Tamandua tetradactyla: one gene and its partner. The protein of the gene in region 1 purifies or fractionates together with the protein of each later gene. This does not show direct contact. Links are inferred from orthologs where the notes say so. Each region holds a gene or a part of one and is shown in the gene's direction. Other genes may lie near its edges. The genes, in order: SS18 and BCL7C.

What was found.
Region 2: the proteins of SS18 (region 1) and BCL7C purify together in Homo sapiens (affinity purification with mass spectrometry; 3 studies listed by BioGRID and IntAct, counting the BioPlex papers as one, with this or other methods). This does not show direct contact. The link is inferred for Tamandua tetradactyla from reciprocal best matches to the Homo sapiens genes SS18 and BCL7C.

Annotation. Positions count from the first base shown.
Region 1 is NC_135344.1:57,044,210-57,052,372, forward strand, and holds the start of SS18 (protein SSXT), read left to right. Parts: upstream 1-5,118; 5' UTR 5,119-5,198; coding exon 5,199-5,267; intron 5,268-8,163. UniProt on the Homo sapiens protein: Appears to function synergistically with RBM14 as a transcriptional coactivator. Isoform 1 and isoform 2 function in nuclear receptor coactivation. Isoform 1 and isoform 2 function in general transcriptional coactivation.
Region 2 is NC_135349.1:23,600,112-23,607,215, forward strand, and holds the start of BCL7C (B-cell CLL/lymphoma 7 protein family member C), read left to right. Parts: upstream 1-3,870; 5' UTR 3,871-3,933; coding exon 3,934-4,025; intron 4,026-4,522; coding exon 4,523-4,601; intron 4,602-4,935; coding exon 4,936-5,044; intron 5,045-5,147; coding exon 5,148-5,309; intron 5,310-6,923; coding exon 6,924-7,009; intron 7,010-7,104. Other genes in the region: CTF1 (cardiotrophin-1), read right to left, coding at 267-385, 1,228-1,252. UniProt on the Homo sapiens protein: May play an anti-apoptotic role.

The DNA of each region.
Region 1 (8,163 bases):
TTCTACAACTAATGGTGGTGCTGTGCATTGAAATTTATTGCTTTTTTGCATATATGTTACTTTTCACAAAAAAAGAAGGAAGAAAAGTCGATAGTGATGATAAAAAAATATTTAAGCCTTCTAGCTTCCTATATTCTGGAGCAGCTAGAAGGAAAAATCTGAGAGGATCATATGTAGCCCATGACAAACTCTGGGATCTGTTCTGTAACTGCTTGTTGAAGAGTGCTTTGAAATCTATTGCTTTTTTATTTTTTTGTATATATGTTATACTATATAATAAAAAGTGAAAAAAAATAGAAAAAAAGAAAAAATAATTAAGGCTACTGGAATGCAATTTAGCAGCTTCAGGTACTTCCCTTTAGCCACCCCCATACACCGTAAACTAAAAAAAAGAATATCTATATAATGAGTAAGAATAACTTCCAAGAAAACCTCTTAATTCTGTTTGAAATCTCTCAGCCAGTGAGACTTTATCCTGTCTCATTTTTCTCTTCTCCTGTTTGGTCAAGAAGGCTTTCTCATTCCCATGATGCCCAGTCCTGGCTCATCCTCAGGAGTCAGGTCTCATGTTGCCAGGAAGTTTATACCCCTGGGAGTCATGTCCCACGTGGTGGGGAGGACATTGAGTTCACTTGCCAAGTTGGTTAGAGAGAGAGGCTACATCTGAACAACGAAAGAGGCTCTTTGAGGGTGACCCTTAGGCATAATTATCAGTAAGCTTAGATGCTTTGCGAGAATGAGCTTCATAGGGGTGAGTCCCAAGATTGAGGACTCAGCCTATTGAATTGGTTGTCCCCACTGCTTGTGAGAATATCAGGAATTCCCCAGTTGGGGAGGTTGAATATTTTCTTCTTTCTCCCCAGTCCCAGAGGGGACTTTGCAAATACTTTTTTTATTCTCTGCCTAAATTACTCTCGGATATATTGGGGCATCACACTAACCTGTATAAACCAACAAGGTCTCATGCTGTTGAAGACTTCATGTAATTATGGTGTTCAAATCAAATGACCATGCAATTTAAATTAGATAACATGCTACCCAAAATATAAATTTTGCACCAAATAAACATCTCACCCTTTGTTCTCACACAGAGGTTGAAGTTTGAAAATATGGGCCATATCATCCTTTACCCAGTATTCTAAGTTACTTTAGTCCTATCCAGATCAGTTTCATTCATACCTCTAGATGAAGTCTGATCACTCTTTTCAGGTTTTAAACATTTGCTGAATGGTGTAATGCTGACTTTCATAGCTTCAGTGCTCTAACTCTGTGTCTGAAGTGTCACATAAGTACCTGAAGTTTCAGGGAATGACCTGGTTAAATACAAATAGCTCACTATCTCAAAATTTAGAAATACCAGTTACAACTCCTAAATATAGGTGACTGCTGCAAGAGCTTACAATCTTTACAACCTTTACAATAGGCCCTGTTTTAGTTTGCAAGAGCTCCCAGAATGCGGTATACCAGAAATGGAATGACTTTTACAGAGGGGAATTTATTAAGTTGCAAGCTTACAGTTCTAAGGCCATGAAAATGTCCAAATTAAGACAAGTCTATAAAAATGTCCAAACTATGGCACTCAGAGAGAGACACCTTGGTTCAAGAAGGTGGATGATGTTCAGGGTTTCTCTCTCAGCTAGAAGGGCACATGGAGATGTCTGGTAGTTTTCTCTCCAGACTTCTTCAGCCACTTCCTCAGGGATGCTTTCTTTATGCATCTCCAGAGGTTTCTGGCTGTGTGGACTCTATTGGTTCTTAAGTTTTTTCCAAAATGCTTCCCTCTTAAAGGCTTCCAGTAAGCACCCCACCTTGAATGCAGGGAGGTGCATCTGCATGGACACCATCTAATTAAAAGTTACCACTCATAATTGGTGGATTTTATCTCCATGGAAATCATCTAATCAAAAGCTACCACTCATAATTGGTGGATCACATCTCCATGGAAACAATAAAAAAGATCCCACCAGCAATACTGAATGGGGAATAAAGAACTTGGCTTTTCTAGGGTACACAACAGATTGAAAGCAGCACAGGCCCCAACCTGATAACCTAGGCTCTCGACTTTAATTCTTTGAGTTTATAAATTATATTTAATCCATATGTGTGAGGCATGATAATATTTGTCTTTTTCTTTCTGACATTTTATTCAACATACTGTCCTTAAGATTCATTCACCTAGTTGCATGCCTCACAACTTCATTTTCTTGCAGCTGCTTAGTAGTCCATAATATGTAAATACCACAGTCCCCCCTTCCATTTTTTCAGTTGTTGTACGCTTAGGCGACCTCCATCCATTGCAAATTGAACACTGCTGCCATAAACACTAGTGTGCTAGTGTCCCCACACTCAGTTCCTCTAGGTATATACCTAGCAACATGATTGCAAGATCATATAGTAACCCCACCCCTAGCCTCCTGTGGAACTACCTCACTGCCCTCTGGAGGGGATGCCCCTCTCAGCTTACCTATCAACAGTGAATGGGTACATCTCTTTCTCCAGATTTTCTCCAGCACTTATTTTTCTCTGTTCGTTTTTAAACAATTTTATTCGCACATCATACACTCCAACCTAAGCAAACAGACATACCTTCACCATCATAATCTATATGAAGACATTTCCTTTACTTCTGCATAGAAGGGGGCAATCATTTTAACATTCGTCTTCGCAAATTCTCTTGCCACCTTTTAGCTCTGCCAAACTCTGTGGTGCATACTGGGGTAAAGACCCCATGATTCTTCCAGACAGTTGTGAAAACTGATGTGGCCAACGGGTATTGGTCTTGAAATTGGGGGCCTTGTCCCTAAGAAGCAGATCTCTGGGCATGTCAACAGTGGTGATGCTGTAGGGTGAGGGTGAGGGGACGCTACTGTCAAAGCCACTAGCTGGCTGGCTCTGGTAGGGAGCTGAAAAATTGTTCATAATTACTAAGGTACTTTTGTCTTAATTTTAAAACACAGATATGAATGCCAGCTTTGGGATACCAGTGGTGGACAAGTGTTGGCTTTTGCTGCAAATTTAGTAAAAGGTTTTTACAATTTGATTTGTGTCTTAGTTTGCCACTGCTGCTATGACAAATACTGCACAATGGGCTGGCTTCAACAAGAAGCATTTATTGTCTCATCGTTTCAAAGACTAGCAGTCCAAAATTAAGATGTTGGCAAGGCCACGCTTTCTTCTTGCCAGTAGCTTTCTAATGATGGCAGTCCTCTGTCACGTGGCAATTTCTCTCCTCTCTGTCTTCTTCTGACTTCTCACCGATTGAGTCTGAATTTCCCTTCTTGATAAAGCCTCCAATCATACAGATTAACCACCCTGATTTAATTTGGCTGTACCTTAACTAACTATATCTCAAAACATTCTACTTGCAAATGGATTCATACCCACAGAAAAGCAGATTAAGATTTGAAGAGGTTTTTTGTAGAGAACATGATTCAATCTACAACAATGTGATTATATTGAATCCAAATATCAGAGTACTTTCTTCAAGGCTCAGGGCAATGAAAGACAATAACTAAATTAATAAAAATGATTACTATTAATAGGAGAATAAACTTGCTTCGTTTTATTCTTAGGATGACTTGAGTCTTTTAATCTTTTAGGTCTCATTTTAAGTATAATCCAGAGGACTTCCTTGCCTATCTCGTGTGTAATCTTTTAGGTCTCATTTTAAGTATAATCCAGAGGATTTCCTTGCCTATCTCGTGTGTGTTCCTCTTTCTCTCTCAGTCCCTCCTTACCTAGTCTTCCTTAAAATTTTACATGTATTTACTTGTTTCTGATCTGTCAACTCTATTAGAATATAAGCTCCTCAAGGGCGGAATTTATGTCCGGTTTATTCAGTTGTATTTTAGGAACCTAGCATAGGGCCTAGCACATAGGAACCCAAATATGTTAAATGAATGAAACTCATGACTTTTTAGTGAAAAGCATTTACTTGACACATTAATTAAAAAAATATTCATTCTATATTTTCTAGTATATTTTGTAAATAAACTGAGGGACTGATCTGATTTTTGAGCTTCATTAAATGTAGGATAACATTTTATATACAATTTCCTTTGCGTTACATGGAAGCGTAAATTACCGAGTAACTTGAAAGAAACAGGAAAACATTATCCACATTTGCTCGTGTTCCTTTTTTAAGTTGAAAACTTTTTTTTCCCCTCGTACTGATTTGAAGTCTGGCAGCTTGCACCTACTAGCCACTAAATATGTCATATCGCCGGAAAAGGAAACAGTGAGGGTGCCCAATTTCGAATTTTAATTCCAAAGATCCAAATCAGACGAAAGTGACCAACATTTCTTGTAAGGGTCTATTACAGAGGCACGCTCTCTAGGCCACCGTAGGCAAGTTGGCCGATTGCCTTTGAGTACTGGAACAGCCTTCCACTTTTTTGGGTCACGTTTACTTTCCAATTGCTAGGCACGACTTTACTTGCAAGGGAGACTGTGGACTCGGAGGTGCGCATTTGAGGCGTAGCCGAGCCGTTTAAACCAGCGAATCCGCTTTCACCCTAGTCCTTCCACCTCCGTCTCCTCTCGGCACACCCTCCACGGTTTGCACGAGCTCTCAGGTCTTGACCCTCCTCTCCCAGCGGCCCCCTCCCGCCCGGCACGAAGCAAGGGCGGGGCAACTAGGGGCGACCACTTCTTCTGAGGGGTGAACACGGAGTTGGAAAAACGGAACTAGGTCTAGCGCAGAGTCCCAGAACGCAGCTCGAAGGACGCCAGGCTTGTCGGAGAGGGAGGTAAGTTGCTCCGGCGCGAAGGGGGCGGGCCGATTCGGCCCGCGCGCATTTCCTGTGACAGGGGCTGCCCGGGCCTCTCCCTCTCCCGCGGCGGCGGGACCATTTCCTGAATCGCTGAAGTGGAGGGAGGACCGAGGCGCGGCCATACCATTAGCTTAGAGGGGCGGGGGGCGCGTATAAAGAAAGATTGAGGAACCGGGGTCGATCACGAATAACGAAGTTATACCAGGTCTCTGGATACCAATTCGTTTTTCAGTAACAAGAGTCCCATGGACCAGAGTGTATCTGTCGAGTCAAGCCGGCTGGCAAATAGTCCGGCTGTGGAGCATCCCCCCTCCCCTCCTTCATGAGGTGGTTTGGCCCCAGAGGCCGCGTCTGCCCCCCTTCCCACCCCAGTTTGCCGTTCATCCGTGGCGCTCTGGACTTGTTGGTAGTGGGGACGGCGGCAACATGTCTGTGGCGTTCGCAGCCCCGAGGCAGCGAGGCAAGGGAGAGATTACACCAGCTGCTATTCAGAAGGTGAAAGCTCGCGAGGGCGGGGCTTCCTGACCACCCTGCCGTAGGGACAACTTCGGGGACTGGGCCAGAGGCGGCGGGCCTGCCGAGAGGCAGTAGTCTGGGCACCGGAGCCTCCGGCCGAGCCCTAATGGGCGGCGACGAGGTCGGACCGGTAACCTCACGGAGTCCCGCGTGCGTTGGGGCTCTTTCCTACAGGCTCAAAAGCCGAATTACTTGTTGGTCGATTTCTCTAGGGATGAGGCGACGTTTGGGTGGCGGGCGCGTGCGCCCGGCTGCTGGACTCGAGCGCGGACCGGCTGTTTCTCGAGTCGGCGCCCCCTGCACCCCGGCGCGTCGCTCGCGAGTTACTTTGGCGTCTCCCCGCCCCGCGCGCCCCAGCCGCCCAGTGCAGACTCGACCTCTAGTCGCGGAGGGAAGGCTGAGGGCTGGTCGCTGCCCTCTGAGTTTGGCGGAGTTGGGGAGCTCTTAGGAGAAGTTGGGGGACGCTGTGGAGAACCTTAGTAGAGTGAGAGACGGCGAGGGAGGACCCACGGACTTCGGGGCTCTCCTCGGAATTCCCTTCTCCTTTCCTCGTCCGCCCCTTATTTACATCTGCAGGGAATACTGAGCGCCTGTTGTAAGGCGCTGAGGCTACAGTGGTGAGCCATGGTCCCTGCATTCCTGGAACTTAGTCTAGTGGTAGAGACGGTCAGGTAATAGGTACCGATTATAAATTGTGATAAATACAGAGTGCTGCGTCCGTGTTGGAGGGTTGCATTGTTAACTGCTGTATTGCTCCCTGTTGGGGATACAAAGGTTCTTCATTTTCCACTACTCCTTGTTGCGTACCAGCAAGGCAAATTTTAGTCCGGCTTTTAACGTTTAATAGTGCACCTTAGATATTTCAGTTTTGTTTTGTGCACTTGCAGCAAGGGTGAAAACAGGAGAAAAGTTAACTTTTAGTACCGCTCCAGGCATTGTATGCCCAATAGATGATGTTCATCGGCTTTTGTTTACTGTCAGGTTCTCTGTAGTGTGACGTTTGACATTTGCCCAACTGTTGCTTTATTTTATGAACGAATAGGCAGTGCCTAGAAATCAGTGCTTTCATATATTGTAGTGCACTGTTTGCAATGTCTGCACCCTAACAAACAATGCATTTTAAGGACAATTTTCTTCTTTTTTATGAGTATTCCATGATTCTTTTTAGAAATAACTGTACCTATTAGAAGGGCATTTAATATTTTATTTCCAGCAAGTGAATATGAGAAGAATATGAAAATGTGCAGAAAAATGTTAAAAAGTTCAGTGGCGGGGCGGGCCGCGGTGGCTCAGCGGGCAAAGTGCTTGCCTGCTATGCCGGAGGACCTCGGTTCGATTCCCGGCCCCAGCCCATGTAACAAAAACGGAGAAACAGAATACAATAAAACAAGAAAATGTTTAAAAATGTTTCCCTTTCTTCCTTCCTTCCTTCCTTCTATCCTTCCTTCCTTCTCTCTGTCTTTCCTTTAAAAAAAAAAAAAAAAAAAAAAAAAAAAAAAGTTCAGTGGCTTTTCCTTATTAGTTAAAAGTTACGTTGCTGTGTGGCAATTTGTTAAGTCTGTTAGATTGTAGTTCTGGATTTTTGGTTGAAGGTTTTGGCTACTGTAAAAATATTAGTTTGTATTTTGAATTGTAAAGTCAAAAGAATGATAATTTTTTTTCATTTAATTGAAGTGATTTTCACGTTCTGCAGATGGGGTAATTATAAAATTAAAGTATTAAGCATTTATTGATAAATAATGTATATGTTCCTATGCCAAGGAATATCGTGAAGGAAATTGAAATAAATTCTTTAAAGATAAAAAAAGTTACATTGCTAACTAAATTATTCACTACTTTCATTGAATCTTGGAATTCAATGGTAGGGCAAATTCACCCTTGATTTCATGGGTAAGCTCGCCCAAAAACTAACTGGCATTCTAGTTGCTATCCAGTTAGTACTCTTTCCTCAATGCCATTTTTTTGAAATGTATTATTTATCCCTTAAAACCATTCAATCACAGAATTGTTATAAATGAAAGAAGGACAAATCAATATACTTTTTTAAAAAAAATATTGGGACAATTTAATAATAAGGTTAGCACGTAAAAGTTTGCAACAAATATTATACATGCATAGAAATTATTGTATTTGATTATTTTTACCATATTTGGGGAAGTCACGAAACCTTACTGTATGAAACTTGGAAGCTGCATTATTAAGCTTCCTGGGCTAATGTTTCATTCTGGATGAGGATAGAATTTCCTTATTATTGCAAAGCCTTAGAATGATGCAAAGACAATTTTGCTCTTAACTAGCTAAATCTTCTACAATGGATAGGAGAGATAATTGAATGTTTGAAAACAAAAGAAACTCCGTATTTCCCCTTTTAAACTTCTAGTAATAATTCAGAGAGAGAATAATTGTAATAGAAGTCTTCAAAAAAAAGAAAAGCCCATTAATTAAAATATGGTTCCAAAGGTAAAAAATGTGTAAAATAAGATTTTCTGTGGTTAGTATATGCAGCAAGAAGACCCAAGTGGATTCAAGACCTGTACAGATCAAACAATTCTAGAAATCTGAAGGAAAAAAAATCAGTTATTGCCCATATAATTTGTGTATTGTCTTTTTCAGTAGATTTAAACAGTTTAGTACAAGATGAATTTTTATGTGAGAAAGAGCTGAATTCACCAATTTCTCTTTAAAATTGTGTTTAACTTACTAAAGTGAATTTTAAAATATGAGTTGTAGCAGGTAGCTACTCAACAAAAAATGTAATTTTAAGAGACTTTTAAAATTGTTACCATGCTTGCTTAGTGATTTTATAATGTGTGATGATTGCTTTGGGCTAACAGTATTTTAGTAGGGGATTCGCATTAAAATTCTTCAAAAAACA
Region 2 (7,104 bases), on another chromosome or scaffold:
CTAGAACCTGTGATCCAGACTTCTGCCTCTGATTTACAGAACCAAGGGAGCCTCCAAGCTGAGGAGGATGGCGGGGCATGTGGGGCACAGATAGGGGCCGCCTCCAATTTGCTGGGTGGCCAGAGACAAATTACTATTCTTCTTGGGACCCTGATTCCACAGTTGAGAAGCAAGGCTGAGAATGTGGGTGGTCAAGGACCCCTGGGCTCTTGCGCTTTCCAATGATACCCCCAGCATACCCCCTCCCCATGCCCACCCCCACTCACATACTCCTGGAGCAACTGTTCGGCATATTTGTTGAGGAGGCAGGCAAGGCTGTGTGTTTGTCGGATCTTGGCCTCCAGGTGAGGAAGGGGTGAGACTGAGGAGTCAGCCCGGGGCTCTTCTGGAGGGAAAGGCAGGGAGGAATGAGGGCAACCCGAACCCCTGTCCTCAGAGCTCTCAGGCTGGGCAGGGTCTGTCCTATACCAACTGAGGGAAAGTGACCTTAGTTAGTGACTGTTGGAATTTTACGTCCATTGAAGCACAGAACTTCAAATCAGTACGGGCTTTTAAGAAACAAGCCCTTCATTTTACAGATCGGGAAAGCTAAGTCCCATTCTCTCCTTGATCCCCCTATACCCCCTTCTTATGGGTACTGGGCGGCATCAAGGAATCGGCGGCTGGCTCTGCGCGACACACGCCAGAGGGTGGCACCCAACGGGAGAGAGGACTATTTTTCCCGAGATGCCTAGCGCGCCCAGATGCATGCTGGGGGATGTAGTCCTAGCCCGGCACCTCCCCCCCGCCCCCGCCTGAGTTTCCCACCGCCTGTACGGATACTGAGCTGCCTCGTCACTCACTATCTCTTGTGGCCCAAAGCCTTTCCCTCCCAACTCTATCACTCCCTTCGGCCTCCCAGCTCTGATTCTTTCCGAAGACCCAGAGGAAAGAACCCAGGCGCCAGTCCCTAGTCTGGACGCCAGACTTCCCCACAGAGGACTTGAACCGGTGGTCTGGCCTCTGAGCCCAAGTTCCCGAAACCGCAGCCCCAGGTTCCTATGAACTCTGGTGCCCGTTCCCTTCCGGCAGCTCACCCGCTGGTTACCAGACACCGGAGCCCCGCGCTCCTCCTCCCAGGTCGCTGCCCTCCCAGCCTCGGGGGAGGCGGGGACCCTGACCCCGGCTCCAACCCTTCTGGCCCCTGCTCCCCTCGGGAACCCGGCGTCAGGCCACTCAGCCCCTTACCCAGACTTCCCTCCCTCCGGCTCATGTTGGCCCCAGGATGATCCCGGTTCCCTCCACGCCCCCCTTCCGAGGTGAGGTGGGGGGAGAAGGGGTTAAGGGGTAGGGGCGTGGTTCGGGCGCAGCCAATCAGGGCCCAGACCCCAAACCTTCCCCCCCACCCCCTTCCAGGCAGGATTCTTTGGCCCTGAGCTCAGATCTTAGACTTTCCGAGAAGGGGCCCCAAGAGGGATGCCTGCTTGTTGGCACGGTGGGTTCCGGACCCAGACCGAGACCTGAGAGGACACAGACTGGGACCTGCGCCCCTCTGGAGGGAGAAGGCTAGAGCGCGACCTGGGACAGGGCCTGGGGCTGGGGTTGCTTTCTGGGGAAAGCTTGGGGGAAAGGAGAGGGAGGGTGCTGGGCTGGCAGGACAAGAATGTGCAGGCCTTCTCTCTTAGGGCAAAGTTGAGGTTGGGTGGCAGTGTGAGGACACTGGGTGGAGCGAAGGAGGCCATGCGGTGGGAACCCTAGGGCTTGGGGCACACATGCCCAGACATACTACTTTTGCCCTATCTTAAATGTGTTCCACCTGGTCTGCAAAACCTTATTGTCATGCTGATAACCAGACTCCCCCTCCCTCAAACACATTCTGGTTGTCACACCTACCTGGAGGGAGATGATACCCCATCTCATCTCTCCTCACTAGGCCCAGAGACAGAACTCCACCGACACATACACATGCATCTACTTAAGGGTTAATGCATACAGCCACTCATTCTTCCACAGGAACAAACCTTAGAGGCAAGTACAAATTCACCAAGCTGGTGCAAACAAACCCTGAAAGGTCTGCACACACTGACCTATCTTCATGATGATTACCAAAGACCTACTCTGTCCAGGGCCCTGGGACTCAGAGATGATCCATACCAGTTCTCTGTGCCGTGACCAAGGACAATGACAATAGCTGGCAATGGGGTTATTGTAAACAAAGCCTGTGTTTCTGTGAGGATGTTAATATAATCAGACAGTGGCCAGGATGAAGGAAGAAAGGAATTAACTGGCAGAGGGTACAACAGGTGCAACTGAGGCCAATGCTTGGTAGCAACCTCAGGCACCCACTTATTCATAGCTCATGTTTATTGAGTGTTTACTATGTGCTATACGTGCATTAACTTATTTATTGCTCATAACCTCATAAAGTAGGTAATATTATCACCCCATTCTATAGATGAGAAATAAAGGTATAGAAAGATGCATGGCTTATCCAGCATTTCACCTCAGATCAGCAATTCACCTCAGCAATCTGCCTCCAGAGATGCTTTCCTAACAACCTTACTATTCCTTCATCCTTCTGGATACAGCAACACCAGAACTCAGATCCAACAGCCACGACCTGGAAACACACACACACACACACAAAACACAAATTTAGACATGGTCATACTTCCTGACAAATAACTTCAAGTAACACCAACAGACACACTCATTTTTTTTTAGGTAAACTTTTCATGGAAGTATAATATACAGGCAGAAAACTGCACATATCCATACAGTTCAATGGATTTTCGCAAAGTAAACACGCCCAGGGAACCAGCATCAGATGGAGAAACAGAACATGACCAGCTTCCAGAAACCTCCCACTTAAGCCCTCCCAGACAACATCCCCCAATTATCCTGTTTTCTCACCCCATTAATATACCTTTGTGGATTTTTGAACAGAACCATACAGCTTGTACTGTGTCTGGTTTCTTTCACTCAAGATTTCCTTCATGGGACTTGTTTCCATTGTTGGGTGCAACAGGACATCAATTACGTTGTTGCTGTATGACATGGTATGAAGAGGATACTTTTTTTTTTCACTCATTCTCCCGGTGATGGACGTTTGGGCTGTTTCCAGTTTGGCATTATTATGAACTGTACTATGAACGTTCCAGTACGCGTCTCTGGGTGCTCATACCAAGGCATTTCCTTTTGGAAGCTGATAACCTAGGGAGTTGAACCCCTGGATCACAGATAGGGTTGGCATCTGTTCAGCTTCACCAGAAACTGTCAGTTTTCTAAGCGGCTCTACCAAATGACACTGTGCACCCTCCCGCCCCCCACTCCAGAAATATAAGAGAGTTCCAGGTGCTCTACTTCCTCGCCTACACTTGCTAAGGTCTGTCATTCTCATTTTAGTCATTCTGGTGGGTGGCGCCGTAGTTGGCACTCAGTAACTTGGGTAGCGAGCGTGGTAGATTCCTTCAGGCTGGCCGCACACATGCACACAACACAGCGTGTTCAGGGACGCCACGCGCAGCGGACGTACACCGGGCCACGGACACTCGCGCGCACCCCGGCACCCACGTGGCCTGAACGCACCGCCTCAGCCCGGCCGCGCGCTTCCAGGCGCCGACTCCCCAACTCTCCCTCTCCGCAGCGGGCAGGGGGCGCTGCGCGTCCGGGCGTCCCGAGGGGGCGGGCCCGGGGCGGGGCGGGGCGGGCCGGGCTTCCAGGCCTCCAGTGTGGCCGCCCGCGCCACCGGGCCGCTCCGGGGCCGGGGCGGGGCGCGGCGGCAGGAAGCGGGGCGGGGACTCGCGGAGGCGTTGGGGAGCGAGGGAGGGCGCGGCCAACTCCCGGAGGGACGGCAGGCGGAGACAGCGGCTCCCCGGCCTGGCGCCGAGCCTGAGCCCGCCAGACGGGAGGCGGCTCCGCCGCGGGCCCGGGCCGGGCCTCAGCCCTGCCAGCATGGCCGGCCGGACCGTGCGGGCCGAGACCCGGAGCCGGGCCAAGGATGACATCAAGAAGGTGATGGCGACCATTGAGAAGGTCCGGAGATGGTGAGCGCTGCAGCGGGGCCGGGAACGGGACATGGCGGGGCCTCCGCCCCATTATGTGTCTACACTCGCATCGCCAGCTGTGGCCTCCAGGTGGTAGGCGTGTCCCCCGGCTGTGCCCGGATCGACAGGGCTCTGTTGCTCTTCCCCTGATAGTAACCAGCCGGCCTCGGCTGAATGGGCCTTCGTTTGTGCCCCGCCCCCTAAAACTGTTACACCTCTTTCCCCCAACATGCCCCAGTATCTTTATTGCCCCATTCCCAGCTAAGCTCACAGCTGTACCCCTACATATGCCCCAAGGGTCTGCAGGGCCATAGTCACAGGCCATACCCTTTCTGTGCACCCCCATCTATGTTCTGGGGTCTACAGGGCTCTTTTTCTCCCCCAAACTATGCCCCATTAGCAAAGCTGTCTCTCCCCAATCTCTGCAGGTACCCCCAGATCTTGGGGGTCTCAACCCCTAGGCCTCTCTGACCCAGTTACTCCCACCCCCCCAACAGGGAGAAGCGCTGGGTGACTGTGGGTGACACTTCCCTTCGTATCTTCAAGTGGGTGCCAGTGGTGGACCCCCAGGAGGAGGTGAGCAAGCCCCCAGCCCCTGCATCTGTGCAACCTCAGACAAGGCCCTCCCCATCCTGGCCTCGACCTCCAGTTCTCGCTCTGAGACCTCAAATGTAGCAGCCCAGACAGATGGTAATGATTATTAGGCAGACCCCAGCCTTCCCCCACCCCCCCAATACCTTTTTTCCTGCTCCAGACATCCACATTCAGGATCTAACCCAGTGGACACAACCTCTTTCACCTAAGGCAGAGCCTTTTGCTTCTCTGTGCCTCAGTTTCTTTACTGTTCAGTGGGAGGTTTGCAAATTAGAAAGCCTCTTGGGGCTCTGACCCTTACTCCTCTAACCCCCAGGAGCGACGCCGGGCAGGTGGCGGGGCGGAGAGATCCCGTGGCAGGGAGCGGCGGGGCAGGGGTGCCAGTCCCCGAGGGGGTGGCCCTCTCATCCTGCTTGATCTCAATGGTATGTGGGGATTCTGGGACTGGGGGGTCAGGGGGAATTGTGGGGATTGGGTGAAGGGACTGGGGGCCTCGGGCCCAACCTTCCTGGCTTCTTGATCTCACAGATGAGAACAGCAACCAGAGTTTCCATTCAGAAGGCTCCCTGCAAAAGGGCACAGAGCCAAGCCCTGGTGGCACTCCCCAGCCCAGCCGCCCAGCGTCACCTGCTGGACCCCCGGAAGGGGTTCCTGAAGAGACTCAGCCCCCACGGCTGGGCCAGGAGAGAGGTAGGACCAGGTGCTTCTCAGGGATCCCTCCTCTGGGTCCTGTCCTCTTCAAAACAGAACTCACCCATGCTTACTCCCTCTCCTGTGTGGCCTCTGGAAGGCCTTCCCTGACTCCTGTGGAAAGTCAGCACCTACCTCTAGCTACTGTCCATTTCATTCCTCTGGCTTCTTAGGATTTGTAGGTCTCTTATCACCACGTGAACTTTTCACATAAATTTAATTTTTTATTACTTTAATGCCCTTCTCCCCCACTCCACCTGTCAGCTTCATGAAGCTTGGGTCCATAACGATCTTGTTCACTACTACAGCTATGGACCACCACGTGGCACACAGCATTTGCTCAATAAATATTTGTTGAGTGATTAAATAATAGCAATAATCATGAGTAATTAATAATGAAGATGAAGATAATAGTTAACATTTACTGAGCTCCTATTATGTGCCAGACACCATTCTAAGCACTTTACCCCATATTCATGATGTAGATATGCCCACTCATAGATGAGGAAACTTAGGTCCAGATGAGTGAAGTAAGTTGCCCAACCTCATACAGCCATGGCACCAGTGTCTTGGGCATGGGTCCTCCTCATCCCCTCACTCATCCAGTCAATCCTGTCTGGTCAGTACCACCTCCCAGACATCCCTGCTCTCCTCTCCTCCACAGTCCTTGCCTGGCCCTGGCCTTCCATCTCTTACTCACTCTGGCTCTTGCCTCCACATTGATCTCCTCTCCTCTGCCCTGGTCTCCTCTCTTCCAGTCACCTCAAAAGGCTGCCAGGAGAGGTGCAAGGGTAGTTCAGTTGTAGAATTCTCGCCTGCCATATGGGAGACCTGGGTTCTATTCCTGGCCCATGCACTTCCCCAAAACAAAACAAACAAACAAACAAAACAAAACACAAAAATTCATCAAATGGTGCTGCAGTAATGGGCTACTCATGTGGAAAAAAGAATTTAATGTGACCCCTGCCATACAGCATACAAAAAAAAAAAGCTATCAGGGCAACGTTTTCTAACCCACAGGTTTGTTGCAGTGGTTTCCCTGCTTCAAAGCCTTCAATGGCTCCCTGTGGCCTTTGATGCCTCAGCTTGGCATTTAGGGCTCTATATGAACTACCCCTGCTGACCTCATGGTCTTCCTCTGAGAACTCTGGGCCTGGGCCTGTGTGTGGATTCTGCCTACTTCGTTGCACTGAGGGCGCTACCTGTATTCTCTCATTGAATCTTCACAACAACTTCATGTAGTAACTGTGTTATCATCCCCATTTTCTGGATGGGCAAACTGAGGCCCCGAGAAATGAAGTAGTTGCCCATGAGTCAGGAATTGAACCTAGGCAGTTTAACCCCAGAATCTGCTTGCTAAGCATGTGTTCCCTCTGTCTAAAACGTGTCCCACCTTTCCACTGGCCAGATCAAATCCTTCTCACCCTTATCATCCCACACAAATGCTCCTTCCTCTGTGCTGCTTCCTGGACTGCAGGTTCACAGCTCCTTCCTCAGTGCTCCATGGCCCTCCGGCTCAAGTGACTGGCCCGTTTGTGTTTGTTTTCCCCAACTGGTCTGTGCTCCTGGCACAGAGTGGTTGATCAAGGAATGCCTGTTAACTTGACATTCCAGATCCTGGGGGCATAACTGCGGGTGGCACCGATGAACCCCCGATGCTGACCAAGGAAGAGCCTGTTCCAGAACTGTTGGAGGCTGAGGTGAGAGAGGCCAGAAGGCTGGACTCTGGGTCTTTGAGGGAATGGGGGCTGTAGGGCAGCAGAGGCTGGGAGGCTACACTCCTGAGGTCCAGGAT